Linked DNA regions of Mytilus edulis. The protein of the gene in region 1 binds, or shares a complex with, the protein of each later gene. Links are inferred from orthologs where the notes say so. Each region holds a gene or a part of one and is shown on either strand. Other genes may lie near its edges.

Region 1 (8,888 bases):
TGCAAAATTTGTGTTTTTTATCAGGAAAAACCCATGATGAAGACTCATTTTATGGTTGAGTTGTTGTTTAGAATTTTTTTGGACTATTTAATTTTAATCTGTATGATCAAAACTTCAAAAAGTACGAAAAAGTCTAAAAACCTTACAAACGTATATGATATGTATATAAACGATCCAGATTTTTTTCAATACCTTCTCTGAGGAAATTATGTGAATTGTGTACTATATATTATAAGAGTTTTAATCCCATTACATAAAATTGAGAATGGAACATAGTATGCTAACTTCTGAAAGAAGTAGCTTGTTTTGTTGCATATTATGTTTGAGATACATATTTTGAAATTTTGAAAAAAGGCAGGACAGGAGTTTGATTAAAAAAAAGGGACTATTATACTAAGTATGTTAGGCAGCAACCATTTGATTTTCGGGGGGGGGGGGGGGGGGCTATGGATTTTTTCGCCTGTGGCGAAAAACAATATACTTTTTTTGCGACAAGTCGAAAACATTTTTTTTCTTTCAATTTTAGCATTACATGTAGTGGCAGCTGAGGGTGAAACAAACATTTTTTTTTCTCAGAATCAAAAACAAATTATTCAAAAAACTGGAAACAAACTTTTTTTTCCAAAAAAATCCATAGCCCCCCCCCCCCCCCCCCCCCCCCCCAAGAAAATCAAATGGTTGCTGCCTTAGTATAGTCCCTAATAAGACACTCAAGGCCGTAACTAGGCCCAATATATTAGTGAGGCAAAACATTGAGCCGAGCGAAGCGAGGCGAAAATATTTTGACAGGGTATGGAATGAATGGTGCAAAATCCTGCATTCTAGGCATTTTAAGAGAGTTTTACAATGTCTCAAATTTAGACACTTTTCATACATTCATTTATCATTTGAAGACATGTAGATAGTAACACCAATTTTTTTAACACTTTAATTTAGTTAATAAATCAGATAAAAATCTAAATATCTATTTAAGTTTGTAGTCAGAACATAGAGCAAAGTATATCAGTAGATATTGTTAAAATTGGAGTTTGCCAATTTTTCTATGGCCAGTTTCGTCGAAACGTCTCAAAATGTTTTGTCTGCTAACATCCTTATCCCGATGCACATGAAGCATGGCAAGACCGCACAATCTCTCGCCACTCATGCATGCCCTTTCCCCAAGTTTTCAGTCGTCTCAGGGCAGAAAAGGAACGTTCACAGCAGACGCTCGTCACTGGTAGCGTTAACAGAAGCACAAGAACACGTCTTATGTTTGGATAAAAATCCTGGTGTGTATATACAAGAGCTTGCTGGAGTGAATTTGGAACAGATTCCTTGTCGGCGAACTTTGTTTTCCATCTAAGGATCTCCTGCTGCCAGTTTTCAATGTCCGGCAAATCAGGGTTGTATGCTTCTTTTATCTCATCTATGCATTCATCTGTCAGGTAGTCAAATTTTCCAGGTAAGAGGTATTGACCCATCATCAGTTGTCGTTGTTCTTGTGGGAATCTTCTTTCAAGCTCAGTACACACGGGATCTAAAAAGGCATAGAAAATTGAAACTCGCCAAAGCTGTTCTGCTGAGTCAACATTTGGGTTGTCTCTGTGAATTTGCCTTCCAACTCTTCGCCGCGGCTGCAAAATTATTTCTACTACATCTGCTAAAACACGGGCTCTCTCGAAAAGTTTAGAAAATGCTTCCTCTGATCTGATCGATTTCAGAGTTCTTAGCAAGTTCCGTGCCTCATCAAAGGCCACTACCATATCACAGTCAACTTTTTGCAAGGAAAGTGTCAAAGGCTTCAAAAATGCTAAGACATACTGTCCAACAACTAGAGCCATAATGAATTCTGGGTCTTCCATCAACCTTCGATGACCACCTGCCTTAGATTTTGAATCGCCACTGCTTTTTTCCTCAATCTTGCATTGTGAAGTTGTTCGTAATTTGTGATTATTGCGGACAATGCATCTACCCGAGCCGTCCAACGGGTTTCACTTAATGGTTGTATTGATTTTTTATGCATAGCTTCCTGCAATAATTTACCGCTGCTATCGTCTTCCTCGTTTATTTCCATTATCTTATTCATAAGGTCAGACTCGGTGAACATTTCTTCTTTAAGTATATTCTTTCGGTTGGCTGAAGCACAAATGAACCAGGTTAGTTGCACCACATTATCCATTATATTGCGAATTGGGTGAACAACCTTGCAACTTTGGGTCACAACAAAATTAAGGTTATGGGAACGACAATGGACATAGTAAGCTCTGGGACTAGTTCTCCGAATGCGAGTTTGGACACCGTTTACGTGTCCACTCATGACACTAGCACCGTCGTAGCCCTGTCCTCTTAACTTTTCAATCTCTATTCCCCACTTATCTAAGTATGTCAAGATGTTCCCAGCAATATTTTCAGCGTCTGTTTTTGTCAGTTCTACGAATCCCATAAATTCCTCTCTGACCTCTGACTTTATCCTGTCTACATACCGAATGCACAATGAAAGCTGCTCCTTAACGCTGACATCGGTAGTCTCATCAGCACATATCGAATAAAATTCGGCTTGCTTACAGCCATTAACTATCTTCTCGCGTATCTCGGTCTCACAGCAATAAATCAGTTCATTCTGAACCTTCGGCGATAGGTAATGTGGACCTTGTGACTGCAAATGGTGACGTAAAATTTCATCAAATTTAGCTACCCATTCCACAAAATACTGAAAATTACCGTCTTCCTTTTTCAGTTCCTTATCCCAGTTTCCCCGGAGCGCAATATTCCGTTGTCCCAAACTAACAATAACATCTATAATTGCAAGCAGTATCTGACGATTACGAACTATCTTGTTCTCGTACGCTTTGCTTATACTACTACAAATATCGGGTTTACTTTCATTCGAAACCATAATCAGATTATCGGCCTTTTCTTTCGCAGCAGAGTGTAATTTGCTATTCTCATGTATTCTGAGTGAACCTCTCTTGTCACCGGATGCGTTTTTCCAGTCACGAAAACCAATCATTCCAAACAATCCGTCACCGTGACCGTCACCAAACACTAAGCAGTATGCACAATAAGCGGCATCTTCTTCAACTGAGTAGCGCAGCCATGGATAAGTTTTTTCCCAGTCCTTGGAATATTTTCGTCCCTTTGTCGTTGGAAATGTTTTTACATCACTACTGCTCGGAGTAGAAAGAATCTTCAATTTTTCATTTTCAGAAAAACTTTGTTTCTTAATAACGAAAGGATCAAATGATAGGCCAATCTCCGTCACCTTTTCCATTACTTCATCAGTCTGTGGTTCTAATGGTAGCACGCTATCATCAACACAATGATCTACGTTAACTTCCGATTCCTTCTACATCGGCGCAATAGCAGCATCGGTAGTAACAGTTGTGTCTGAAAAGGGGAATTAGGCTTTCCCGTAAGCAAACAAACAAGACATTCAAATTCATAGATCGAAAATTAACTGATAACGCCATGGCCAAATAAGAAAAAGACAAACATAATTTTATATTGATTAGACCGTTGTTTTTCCGGTTTGAATGATTTTACAACATTAATTCAAATTATTTTTTGGGCCCTTTATAGCTTGTTGTTCGATGTGAGACAAATCTCCAAGTTGAAGGCCTTACACTTACCTATAATGTTTTACTTTTATAAATTGTTACTTGGATGGAGAGTTGTCTCATTGGCATTCATACCACATCTTCCTATATCTATATAATAGTAAAGGACATAACATAGAAAGCTAAAGACTAAGCAACATGAACCCAATCTAAAACTTGGAGTAATCTCAGGTGCTCCGGAAGGATAAGTAGACCCTCTTCCATATAAGACACCCTTCGTAAATAGTCTAATTCGTAAAAAAAAAGGGAACGCCGTTATGGGATTGTAGTTACAACATGGGAGCATGTCTGATATCATCTGTGTATTAACGGATATTCCACAGTCAACCAACTCGTGATGGCGTCCGTGAAAGACATGTATATAATTTTATCCAGAGTAAGTTTACTTGTGAGATAATATGGGTACAGGAGAATTTTACTGGAGTTTTCACCGTTTGTAAACATGTAGGTTCGTGACTTCAAATAATTTCGTTATTTCGGTAAATAGTCAGCGGTAAAATATTAATTTTAGATCAAGAATCGATAAATAAGGGGTGTGGGTGTGGGTCCGATCCCGAATAGGATTGTCCTGAATATATAGACACGTCATGAAAATCGGTAGTCCCGAATTGAAAAAGACCAAATTATAATGATATCCCGTTTTAAAGGCCCTGCCGTTCTTGGAGTCAGGACAGTGCAAATTGGAATACGGAATGTTATTTTAATTCCTAAGGTAAAAGAAACATGAACAATTAAAAACTAACACATGCAGGTTTCATAATATCTATATCTATTTTTGGTTTATCTGTATAGAACGAATAAAGTTTGTGAAATGGAGATATAAATAGGCAGACAGAACTACTCCCGGCTATAGACAGTAACTTGTTGGTCTATTTATAGTTTTGGGGTTCCAATGAATCTATAATTCAATACTTAAACTCTGAATGATCAACCCCTGTTGTGATCACGAACAGCATCAATGAATTCACAATTTATATTCCTTCCTCACTTTCATTATCGCTTTTCCTTTTTCTGCAAGAACCTGTTTTCAACCAGAGATCCATGATTATTACCGTAACTAAGTAAAAATGTAATCGAGAAACATCACCCGTTGAGATGCTGAGTTATATCCGGGAAGAATGATTTAAAAGGGATGGTGAAGTTAACTGTTATACTATAGAAATTAAGGTTGAGAAAAAACAAAAAAACACATTAGTGTATGTTCATATTTATTTACCATAAACGAATTATAATTTTACAAAAAAAAAAAAAAAAAAAAAAAATTGGTCGAAATTTTAGTGAGGCAATTGCCTCACTTGCCTCAATGGTAGTTACGGCTCTGACACTGTGCCAAAAAAAAAGGCTGTAGTCTATGACTATTCATGTAAATTTCTGAAAACTGAAAAGTGCCAATATAGGACCAAGCTCATGCGATTTATAAACTCAAGCTCTAACAAGGTCAGAGTATTAATTTTCATAATCCTCTCCCTACTATTCACACAAAACTAAAAAATTGTCCCCGAATCTATTTAAATAAAAGCGGGAAAATTACTTAACAGAAAATTACCCATGGTTCAATAGCCTCATCTTTAATACTTAGCAATTTTACATCTAGATTGCTTGCCAATTTCATTTCTAACACTTAGATTTTAATAGCTAAACTACCATTGAACTTCATATTTGAGCATAAACCGATAAATCTAAATTGATAAAAAAAAAAGTGTCAAATACAGAAATGCATAATTAGTCCGTCATTGCTTCCGAGTTTAGACAACTACTATGATTTCCGGAATGAGAAGCGTTAGACCGAATTGCTTAATATATCATGTAAAGCATACTATTTAGATAATGCATAAACACAAGAACCTAGCTTATACATAACTTATCATTATAAATACACAGAAAAGTCCACACCATGTGCTGCTGTCGCTCTGTAGCCTCATTACTTCGATCATTTCATCGTTTGATTTAATTATCTCCCCTTGTTTTTGTGAGTGCTGAAGTAAGTTAGTAAATTGCATTAAAGTCGACATATATGTACACAACGTAAATTTTGTGTGACTTTTAAACGTATATTTCATTTAAATCATGCAGTTATACTAACAACAGAAAACTTATCAGTTGCTAAAAGTGGTTCACTCATAAAAAAAAATTGAAAACAGGTTCAAAATTTGTTTCAACGAAGCACTTTTCTGGATTTACATTCATCAAGAACGCTCAGAGCCAAACATGTGAAAACTGAAGATGTATAAGTACAGAGACCTTTGAAGAGCCATATATATATATGTCAAAAACACCCAAAAATAAATAGCCAAATTCATCTAAAGCCAACTTTGCCTGAGGGAGTTGAAACCTTAGTTTCTTAATAATTTCTAAATTTATAAACATACAATTTTAGTAAAGTTTGTTAAATCATGTCAGTAATCATAATTCTGGTCTAAGTGTAACAGAGATTGGCTGATTTTTTAAAAAATGTGGCACAAGAAAGTCAAATGATAATGCGTGAAAATTCTGTATTCTGTATCGTGAAAACAAGAAGCAAAGGGTCTGGTCTAGACCTGAGAAATTACTTGTGCTGTTATTGCAACGAGTAGTGAGTTTAGGGATTCTCACTGTATATGATATTTGTTTTTCATTCATCAACTCCTTGATGTATACATGCAATAGGTGTCCGTCTAAATTTTCTCAATTTCATGAGAACATATAATGTGTATTTTTGTTGTTTTTTCCCCCCATCTTCATTTAGTTTTCGCTTATTTGTATGTGTTGGAGTTAAAAAAATTAGTAAGACATACATAGAGTGTGCAAGGATGTCTGTGATAATTTCCCGATGCATGTATGTGTCTAAAAGAGAACCCTAAAGATATTAGTAATTCAGATGCCACAGAGACATTGTACATGATATTTCTTACATTCAAAGCACTAACTTTCCTGGATTAACCTTTATCAGATATGGTAGGAGTCTAAAGTTTGTAGATACTTGTGTTATTAGTTAGGAATGTGTTGGAGTCCAAAAAACTAGTAAGACTTACATAGAGCGTGCAAGGATGTCTGTGATAAATTCCCGATGCATGTGTGTGCCTAAAAGAGAACCCTAAAGATATTAGTAATTCACATGCCACAGAGACATTGTACATGATATTTCTTACATTCAAAGCACTAACTTTCCTGGATTAACCTTTATCAGATATGGTAGGAGTCTAAAGTTTGTACATACTTGTGTCATTAGTTACATTTAGGAACAGCATTATTTAAGATGTTGCACTTTGATTCAGGCAAGTGAATACAGTTATCAGAAAAGTTGATTTCTGGCAACTTGCTAGAGAAGACAAGTTAAAACGATAAGTTAAAAGTTAAAGGCCTACTATGTTGGAAAATGTAAAAAAATATCAAAATGGTCTTTAAAAGGAGATGATTAAAAACAATAAGTAATGAATTCCTTTAAAGAATAATTATCTTTTTGTAAATTTACCTCAATTTAAATGTATTATTCAGCAATGGTTAGGTTATAAGCCCATTAAGGGTACAAGTATGATTTAGTGTCTGATACTGGTTGATACATAAGTAATCTACCTAGATGTATATTTCAAAACTATGCAGCTGTCTATTTCAGATAACACTGCAATTCAAATCTTCAACGGAGACTTTTCTGTTTGTAACTGAAGTCTTTCTTTGATTGTTGGACAATGCAGAAATGTTTAATTTTACAGGAAAACATTAGTGATTTTTGTGCTTTTACATTTTCAGATAAAGGCTTATCAAGATGCTGCAATCCCCACTAAGTCCACATGATTTGACCGCCCAGCTGACCACATTTAAATCCTATGTGGCATTGATTGCTGACCCTACACCAGGAAGTATGGTTTATTTAAACACATTCAAATTCTTTTCGAATTATTTGCATCTAACTAATTATACAAGATCTTTTATCTGCAATACATGCAATACTGTATAGCTTTTTTTTAATCACAATATATGATTTATTTGCATAATTTTTAGGCTTATATTTATTTGGAACTGATTTATAAAGTCTTTTGGACATGTAACATAAATATATGAACCATTATACGAAATGAATTAAAAACCTAGACAAGTTTCTAAGGTTAATAATGAGGTGTTGTTAAGAGGTAGAATGATTACAATATTGACTGATGATCTCCTCTCCGGAGTAGAGGTCATATGTAGATTAGTCTGATAAGATCTGACTACCTCTTTTACATAAATTTTGTACATACATAAATCTGTCCAATAATCATGATAATACTTCATTACATGTACCGGTAACTTTAGAAATAATAATAATGTCCCTGTCGTCTAGTATATTTTAAAAGGAGAAAATATAATACATGTAGAATTTGTTGCATTGTTGGCCTGTAACTGTTTTTCATTCAAAACTCTTTTTTAAACTTGATGTTACATAAAATAAATACATAGACCCTATAACTTGCTACTGTGTAATATGTAGGAACTATTATATTCCATGAATGAAATATTAAAAAAAAAAATGTAATCAAAATTCTTTGTTTAATAGTATGGTTTTGTAAGAGGTAGAATGATTACACTATTGACTGATGATCTCCTCTCCGGAGTAGAGGTCACATGTAGATTAGTCTGATAAGATCTGACTACCTCTGTTACTAAATGGATCTGTCCAATGATATTTTATTACATATTACTTTACATTATAATGATGTTCCTGTGATCAAGTTTTGATCTGTAGAATAATACTTTATTACATATTACTTTAATAAAGTTTATTTATAAAGGAGAATGCATATTGATTTTGGGCCTTAATTGGCCTCAAAGTACCCTGTATTTCATTCAAAACTCCCTCAATTTTATGTTTATTAAAGAATTAAAATTGAGAATGGAAATGGGGAATGTGTTAAAGAGAAAACATCCCGACCATAGAAAAAAACAACAGCAGAAGGTCACCATTAGGTCTTCAATGTAGCGAAAAATTCCTGCACCCGGAGAAAAAATAACACGAAACTTTATAGTATTTGACTCAAACTCGCTTAGGTTAGACTAATTTACATATAAAACAATGCAGCTTACTTAAATATGATTTGTTACATACATTTTTTTAACATTTAAAAAAAGAAATATTGTCACTTGCTGGAAGAAAAACTTGTTTGCCTCTGAGAAATCTGAAGAAAAACTAAAAATTAGATATTCTCTTACTCTTTCCCCTTTTTACAACAGTATGAGTCAAGATCGAGAAATGAATTGGGTGTGGCTTTATATAATCTATTATTTTTGTATTTTAAGTTGTTGAGAAAAAGCTGAAAGCTGCACAGGAGTTAAGTGAAA
Region 2 (8,534 bases), on another chromosome or scaffold:
AAATGAAATTATTAAATTATTATGAAATCAGATGTTGATTAGATATTAAATATCTAATCAACATCTGATATCAAACTTAGGTTACTCATGACGTGTGTGTGTGTGTGTTTTTTCCCTCAAATTTTAATCTTGCTTTTGGTTTCCCATGCATATATATTTTACATTATCTGTTATACCAATCCAGGACATCCAGTTTATAATTCTATGATTAAAAAAGAAAGTTGAAGATTCTACAACGGCTTAATTTTTTAACACTTGGAGTACAAAAATTATAGACTCTATATAGTTCTAGTAATTCTACAAGGGACGTTCTTGAAAAGAAGGTGTCACCAGAGTAAAACAGAACATCCACATGTGGTAAAAAAAATTCGTTCAAATATGCTACCGTAACGTTTCTGCATGTCGGGAACAGTCTCATATGCCATTTCAGGACAAACACAGTTTTAAAGAAATGAAATATCTTGTTTCCGCCTGGAATTGTTTGGGATGTTGCTTTCCCGCATGCTTTTAATGCCCATTTCCCATTGCTTGTTATTTTATGCATGGTTTCTACTCTGCATTTCTTTTATATTAACCTGTATGCTCAAGTGTTGAGTGTTCTAGAGAGATGTCCAGGTTGACACATATTCGCTTAGACTCATCATGATGGACTACTGTTAGATTTGTTACAGTCAGTCCTGTCTACGTAATTCTTTATATATAATAAAATTGAGAATGGAAATGGGGAATGTGCCAAAGAGACAACAACCAGACCATTGAAAAAAAACAACAGCAGAAGGTCACCAACAGGTCTTCAATGTAGCTAGTCCAAATAATTATGACGTCTTGAAAGGCTATTATAATTTTTTTCTTTGACGCCTTAGTCGAAGTAATTTTAAAGGCGTCAAAGAAAAAAAATTATAATAGCTTTTCAAGACGTCATAATTATTTGGACTACAATGTAGCGAGAAATTCCCGCACCTAGAGGCGTCCTTCAGCTGGCCCCTAAACAAATATATACTAGTTCAGTGATAATGAACGCCATACTAATTTCCAAATTGTACACAAGAAACTAAAATTAAAATAATACAAGACTATAAACAAAGGCCAGAGGCTCTTGACTTGGGACAGGCGCAAAAATGCGGATGGGTTAAACATGTTTGTGAGATCTCAACCCCCCCCTTTATACCTCTAGCCAATGTAGAAAAGTAAACGCATAACAAATACGCACATTAAAATTCAGTTCAAGAGAAGTCCGAGTCTGATGTCAGAAGATGTAACCAAAGAAAATAAACAAAATGACAATAATACATAAATAACAACAGACTACTAGCAGTTAACTGACATGCCAGCTCCAGACTTCAATTAAACTGAGGCTGAAAGATTATGATTTCATCATATGAACATCAGGCACAATCCTTCCCGTTAGGGGTTTAGTATCATACCATCATAACATATATGAGAAGAACATAACCCGTGTCATGCCAACAACTGGTTTTTTAATAAATGTGTTTAGTTCCGATGCAAAGACCCTATATAAGTGAATCAATATTAACGCCAACATATGCAATCTTTAATGACCTGACAACAGTATCGTAACTATATCCCTTCTTAATAAGTCTATTCAAAGGTTTTGTTAGTTTTTGAGGTGAATACTGACACCTTTGTGCTTTATAAAGAATATTTCCATAAAAAATTGGATGTGAAATACCTGAACGTATAAGAAGTCTGCATGTTGAGCTATATTTACGAATGATGTCCATATACCAATGATAAAATTACTATAGTAAATGTTTTGACTAGTTTGTGATATCGAAAACCCGGGTGTAATAATTTTTCAGTAATACATACATTTCTCTCGTTAAAATCTAAAACATTGTTACATACACGAGCGAATCGTACAAGTTGAGATATATAAACACCGTAAGATGGTGACAAGGGAACGTCACCATCTAAAAATGGATAATTAACGATAGGAAATGAAAAATCATCTCTTTTATCATAAATTTTAGTATTCAGCTTTCCGTTAGTGATATAAATATCAAGATAGAGGAAAGGGCAGTGGTCATTGTTAATATTAGCTTTATTTAAAGTAAGTTCAACAGGATAAATTTCTTTAATATACATACTGAAGTCGTCATTATTGAGAGCCTAAATATCTAAAAGTATTATTAAATCTGTTTATAAGATGTTGTTTCGATGGGTCTTTGCTTATTTTTGTCATGAATTGTAACTCATAGCAATACAAAAACAGGTCCGCAATAAGTGGTGCACAGTTAGTCCCCATTGGAATACCGATAATCTGACGGTATACGGAATCCCAAAAGCGAACAAAAATGTTATCTAGTAAAAATTCAAGGGCATATATAGTATCAAAGCATGTCCAATTGACATAGTTTTTTTTGTTTATTGCTACTAAAAAAATACCTAAAAGAGTTTGAACATATATATTCACATTCTGACTTTTTAAATGCCCATTTAATTAGGTGTGTGAATTTTTCTTAATGAGAATGTGAGGCAATGTGTATACAGGGTAGAAAAATCAAAACTTTGAACAGATTCAAAATCACCAATATAAGCATGCAATTTATCAAGTACTTCCAACGAGTTCTTGACACTCCAAAAGTAATTAATTCCACTATTTTCGAAGGCCTTATTTGAACAATTTATTATCAGGGTTTTAATTGTACCAAGTGTGCTGGTAAGAAGAATAGACAATTTAGTAGTGGAACAATGGGTCAACATTGCTGCAAGTTTTGTTAATCTAAAATCGATTTTACATATATCCATATAGGTAAATCAATTTTTCCCAAATTAAGTTAAGAAGGGGGGTAAGGGGGTTAGCGAAAAAACTATGTGAATTAAGTTTTTTATCCTACATTGAACTTTTGATGTCGTCCCTTACAGATGTCGTTTTCTGAAAATGCTATATAGAAAACTTTTTAAATATATGAGTTGCTACTTTTATAGTGATCATGATTTATATAGCAGCATGTTTGGTCCGCTTTTTTCTATATAAACTTGCCATATTTTCTTCGAGCCAACCTAGCCAGGACAGTATATTGTCAGTTATCCTCTTCCCAGGAGATTACAACACAAAACCCCCAATATGTAGAGTTTTCATCTTGATAAACACGTATGAATATACTACATTTAATGTTCGTAATTGTAGTTGTAGATTTTAACAACCTTTATTTAAGGGCATATTACTGAGCTACGAGATAAAGAAAAAATAAAAAATGATTTTTTTTTTGTTCAGTGATTACAGTTAAAATAAAAAGCATGCGAACCAAGAGTTTGTAAATGCCTTGCTTGCCAACTTTGTTTGGTTGTTTGCTCAGGCATTGTAATTAAGATTGACACCTGAATTCAAAGGAGAGGCGGAGAAACAGTTTGTTTACTATATAAAAAAATAGTTGGTTGGACAATGGATATTACATTGGAAACAATTTTGATATTAATTGACCAATAAAACCTTTGTGTATAGTAAACAGACTGTTATATATACTCCACCTGGCTACCCATTGAATTTAGGTGTTAATCTTAATTACAACTAGAACACACCCGTGATATCGCGGGTCCGTGACTGAATTAAAGTATATAACTATGCGCAAGCCTTATCTTTGTATTAGTACTGGCATCTGATAAAGTCATGCCGATTATAAGATACACAATTTTCTCTGCTTTCAAATCTTTCTGTTTGAACCCGTCGAACTGGAACTTATTAATTATGGGTAATATTAATTATTTGGAAAACAAAAGGTCCTGGTATGGAGTATTTTTTAATCTTCAGCATTGTCCTATATTAGTTATAAATAAAGTTGAACTCTTTGATTCGCTGTTTTACGTCATGCCCGCTAACAAATTGAAACTTATTTTTAGTCCAGATTTTTAGTATTCGTATTGTTATCTTAGAAAGTCTTACGGATTAAAATACTACAATAGGTAACAATTTGACAATTTAGTAGTGTCAACCCTGTGATTATGACCCGTGTATAAAGCATATTAATCCTGAATACACCGTTTGGTGGTGCGCCTGTCAGATGCGTAACGTACAGATAAGGTAATAGGTAACATTTGATTATACTATTGGTATCGGTATCGGAATCGACCCGGAACTTCCTAATTATTGGCAATATTAATTACTTGGAAAACAAAAGGGCCTGGAGTGGCGTAATTTTTAAACTACACATTTGTACTTTATTAGTTGTATATAAAGTTGAATTCTTTGATTCGTCGTTTTTACGTGATGACGGCTGACAAATTGGACCTCGTAATTTTAGTATTATAGATGTCTGAGCAAAAAAAAAAAAAGTTGGCAAGCAAGGCATTTATATTCTTGGTTTGCATGCTCTATTATTTTAACTGTAATGAAAGTGAAATAGCGAGTGATAATTCGCTTTTAGAATTGCAGCCAATTTGGTTCAATTTGGTCAGGCAAAGAAAAGTAGGACTGGATCATATCGCTGATTGATTATTCACGTACAATTTAAGTGATTAATTCGACATCATTGAATCCGTAATTACCGGGTATGTGATCTTTAATCAAACATCTCTGCTAAAGATTGGCAACACTTGTATTCTGAGCTATTGCAAAGGAATAGAATATTGTTAACCATTTTGTTAACATTGAGTGTTAAATAAGGATGAACCATTATACTGACTAATTCAAACCACAAAAAAAACCTCCTCTTATTCAAGTAAAGCGGTGAATGGCATACTTTTTAATCTCCGTATGAAATATAACAGACCGCTAGAAAATCCAATTGCACATGGTCGCTATCTATTTATATTCCTATCAGGTTTTATAACGGCCGTCGGCAGTCTTCGGAGATCATCTCTGTGGTTAATTAGACGACATCTAAAATATGTTGAAACATATCATTGTATCCATGTTTAACCAATGAGAACACTGGGAAAATTTGCAGAATATTTTAAAAGGAGAAAAATACAAAATTGAATAAAAAAAAAGGGAAGATCAAATGAAGAATAGAGAATAATTTGGCGCTAAAATATAAAGAAAATAGACTATGGTCAAAATAAAGCAAGAATAGAGAAAATGTACATAATGACTTAAAGAATACAGATATCAAAGGTCTCAAGACTCTCTTGTATACTTTCTCGTGAAATTGTGTTCAAAGATCTTCAAAGTTGCCGGATATATTTTTTTTAATTTTTAATTGCATTTTGACCAAAACAATTTTTGGTCAAAATGCAATTAAAAATTAAAAAAAATAAATGTTTTAAACTGTAGACCATTCTGTTCAACTTTTTAAATCCGTTTCAATTTTAAATCTATTTTGAGCTATTTTTGAGAAATAACTTAGAATACTGTATCAATTTTTATTTCCGTCTTTTTTTACTTCCGTGTTTTAGACAGTCTCAAATTATTTCACACACAAATTGATGACGTAAACACATGTGCAAACATTTTCCCTAAACTATCTAAGCTTGGATAAACGAAATGCCGCCTAAATATAAGTTCCAAGAAGGTAGTTGATGCAATAATTAAGTAATTATATGAATCTGACATTTATAAATAGACATGCATCCTGTCTTTTCGCTGCGATAGATTTTTGTTTTGTTACAATTCCAAAAATTATACAAACACAACAAATTTATCTCGCTTACACCAAAAAGTCACAGGCACTTGTTTCTATCTATGTGCGGTTTACTTTCCACACCCGTACGAAAAATAACATTGCCAGAAACAAGTGCCTGTGCAAACAATCCAGAAAAATTACCCCCCTTTTCCCCCTTTTACATGTCCTCTAGAATATTTATCTGTTTAGCTATAAATGACTTATTCCAGGAAGATTTTACAAGTGAAAGATGTGGAAGGAACATATATTTTAAAATCCATTTCGACATTTGTAAATTGTGCATTTCACTATTTTAGTATTTGTCTGCTATTACTGGACTTTTCAAAGGTTCCCTTATAATTTTGGCATTATAATAGAAAGTATCTGACACCACAAAGAAAAAATGATTGTTGTATGACATCAATAGTTCAACAGGCACAGGTCTTGGGTTAATCATGTTAATTGGTGCAACAATTAAAGGTGTATTGTACTGTTTTCATTATTCCATTTGGAAATCAGAGATGCACCTTTGCTTGAAACCATATAGGACTTGCACTTGGCTGGGTCTGTCAATAGAACAGGAACAGAGTTATTTGTAATCGAAACCATAAGATTTTATTCTACCGGTTTTGACCCATCCACATTCTTTGTGTGTCTGACCGAAGTCAGGAGCCTTTAGTTCAGCTGTTGTCTTTGTTTTATGTCTGTCATACTTGTTTTTATGCCTCATCTACAAAAGTAGAGGGGCATCATGTTTTTTGGTCTGTGCTTTCGTTCATTGTCCGTCTGTCCCGCTTAAGTTAAAGTTTCTGGTCAAGGTAGTTTTTGATGAAGTTAAGGTTCATCATAACAAGTGGACAAATGTGGCTGTATTTTCACCTCAAAAACTACTCTGTGTACAGACTTACCTGTGCTGTTTGGAAAGTTTTAAGGCCTAGCATCCACTAGATATATAAAAGTTAAATTCATTTTATGTTTAAGAAAGATAACATCTTTCTTGGTTTTTGATGGGCATTTTTTTTCCTTTCTGCAGAAGGTGTAAAAATAAACAAACATCTGAATTACTTTGATACTGTCCACTCACTGACTCAGATAAACTCTTTAACTCACCTGTAGTTGTGAAGATACCTCTTGTCCATGTCAATTAAGGACAATCAAAACAATACAAACCGGTTTTTTACCTGAGGGAGCATCTCAAAGTTGTACCACTTTGAACTTAGTTAATTTTCACACCTTATGCATGAAGGAAAAAAATGCCCATCAAAATCCAAAAGAGATTTTATCTTTCTGCAACATAAAATGCATTTATCTAGTGGATGCTAGGCATTAAAACTTTTCCAACTTCACAGGTAAGTCTGTACTAAGAGTAGTTTTTGGCATGTAAATACAGCCATGTTCGTCTGTTTGTCATGATGAACCTTAAAGTCCAAAAGTCCATTCAACTTGAAACTTAGTACACAAAAAAAAAAAAACAACTTAGTACACAAGCTCACTAAAATATGATCTTTCTTATTTTAATGCCAAATTAGAGTTTTGATCCCAATTTCAGGGTCCACTGAACATAGAAAAAGAGAGTGTGAGTTGGGCATCTTTGTACATGTAGTTCTATCATGACTATGGACACTGTCTTGTTTTCCATTTTTTCAAATTGTTTCTTAAAGAGTCAGAATCTTTTGTAGTTATTTTTATACATAGTAGCCACTTAATGGATCATTAATTTAATATTGAACATGCATGTTGATGATTTGGTGAAATATTAGTAAACATGAAAGTAACAAATATAATATTTTTTACAGGAGAGAAAGTTCTTTGCTTCCATGGACCTTTATTATATGAAGCAAAGGTATGTATCTGTATTTCTCTAATTTTTGTGCTATATTCACATTTCATGTTCGTTGTGAGAAAAGTATTTCTTCTCTGCAAATGATTGGTCGAAATTTAATTGTGAAGTCAAATTTTCTTGGTTTCTTCTGAATTTTCTATTGTGACAACACGAAAAAAGGCAACCATGCTTAATGATGTCACATATAAAGAACACAGTTTTCTGCAAATATTTGAAAAAGGAACAAGTTTAAGCCTCCTGTTAATATTAGAATTTATCAGTTTTTTTTTTTTTTTAAGGTTTACATATTTTATTGAAATCTTTACATTTGTTAGTTTATCAGTTTTTATCAGTTTTGAGGGGAGAAATATCGTAACATACTTGTTACAACAGTGGAATCTATATTTCTCTTCTTATGCTATTTAGTTATGATGCACAAACTAATGTGTATACATTTGCTGTAAGATTTCTGTGATTGGCAGCACATTCAGAGTAATGTGTTCTTATTATTTTAGTATTGGTTCTACACTCTCCCCATGTCACAGAATATAAGTTCTGTCATAACATTTATTCCAAAGATAATTTATTATGTAACAAAAGTTCCAATTGGAATTATTGTTATGTGATATTTATTCAATCAACATAATAAAATGACCGATGCCTCGGAATTTTTATCACATAAAATATATTCCAATAGGAAGTTTTATTACATAATAAATTATCTTTGGAATAAGTATTATGGTGGAATTTTTATCTTATGACTGGTATAACATTTTGACTTTTATCATTTTGACATATCACTCATTAAAATGAAAAAAATGATAAAATCTTATGTTATATTTATTCCGATTGGAAAAAATATTATGTAATATATATTCCGATTAGAAAAAATATTATGTAATATATATTCCGTACGGAAAAAATATTATATAATATCTTTTCCGACCAAAAAATATTACTATATTTTATCCATAACTAATGCCGGATTGGAAAATTGGTATTTACAATTATTATAAGAACAGGTATCGTGAATATGGAAAAGAATTGTCCCAATCTTGAAGATATATTTCTGAATTATCCACAATTACTAGTATGCATATTTTACCTTTGAATGATATTTTTCTCATTAGAATTAACATTTATATTTCACA

What was found. The genes of interacting proteins can lie anywhere in the genome.
Region 2: transformation/transcription domain-associated protein-like (region 1) and mortality factor 4-like protein 1 share a complex: the UniProt entries of both Drosophila melanogaster proteins name them as parts of the tip60 chromatin-remodeling complex. The link is inferred for Mytilus edulis from reciprocal best matches to the Drosophila melanogaster genes Nipped-A and MRG15.

Annotation. Positions count from the first base shown.
Region 1 is NC_092344.1:84,541,177-84,550,064, forward strand, and holds the start of transformation/transcription domain-associated protein-like, read left to right. Parts: upstream 1-5,361; 5' UTR 5,362-5,418; intron 5,419-7,320; 5' UTR 7,321-7,338; coding exon 7,339-7,432; intron 7,433-8,846; coding exon 8,847-8,888. Other genes in the region: zinc finger MYM-type protein 1-like, read right to left, coding at 1,841-3,250. UniProt on the Drosophila melanogaster protein: Part of the Tip60 chromatin-remodeling complex which is involved in DNA repair. Upon induction of DNA double-strand breaks, this complex acetylates phosphorylated H2AV in nucleosomes and exchanges it with unmodified H2AV.
Region 2 is NC_092347.1:28,692,322-28,700,855, forward strand, and holds the start of mortality factor 4-like protein 1, read left to right. Parts: upstream 1-5,356; 5' UTR 5,357-5,443; coding exon 5,444-5,471; intron 5,472-7,357; coding exon 7,358-7,404; intron 7,405-8,534. UniProt on the Drosophila melanogaster protein: Part of the Tip60 chromatin-remodeling complex which is involved in DNA repair. Upon induction of DNA double-strand breaks, this complex acetylates phosphorylated H2AV in nucleosomes and exchanges it with unmodified H2AV.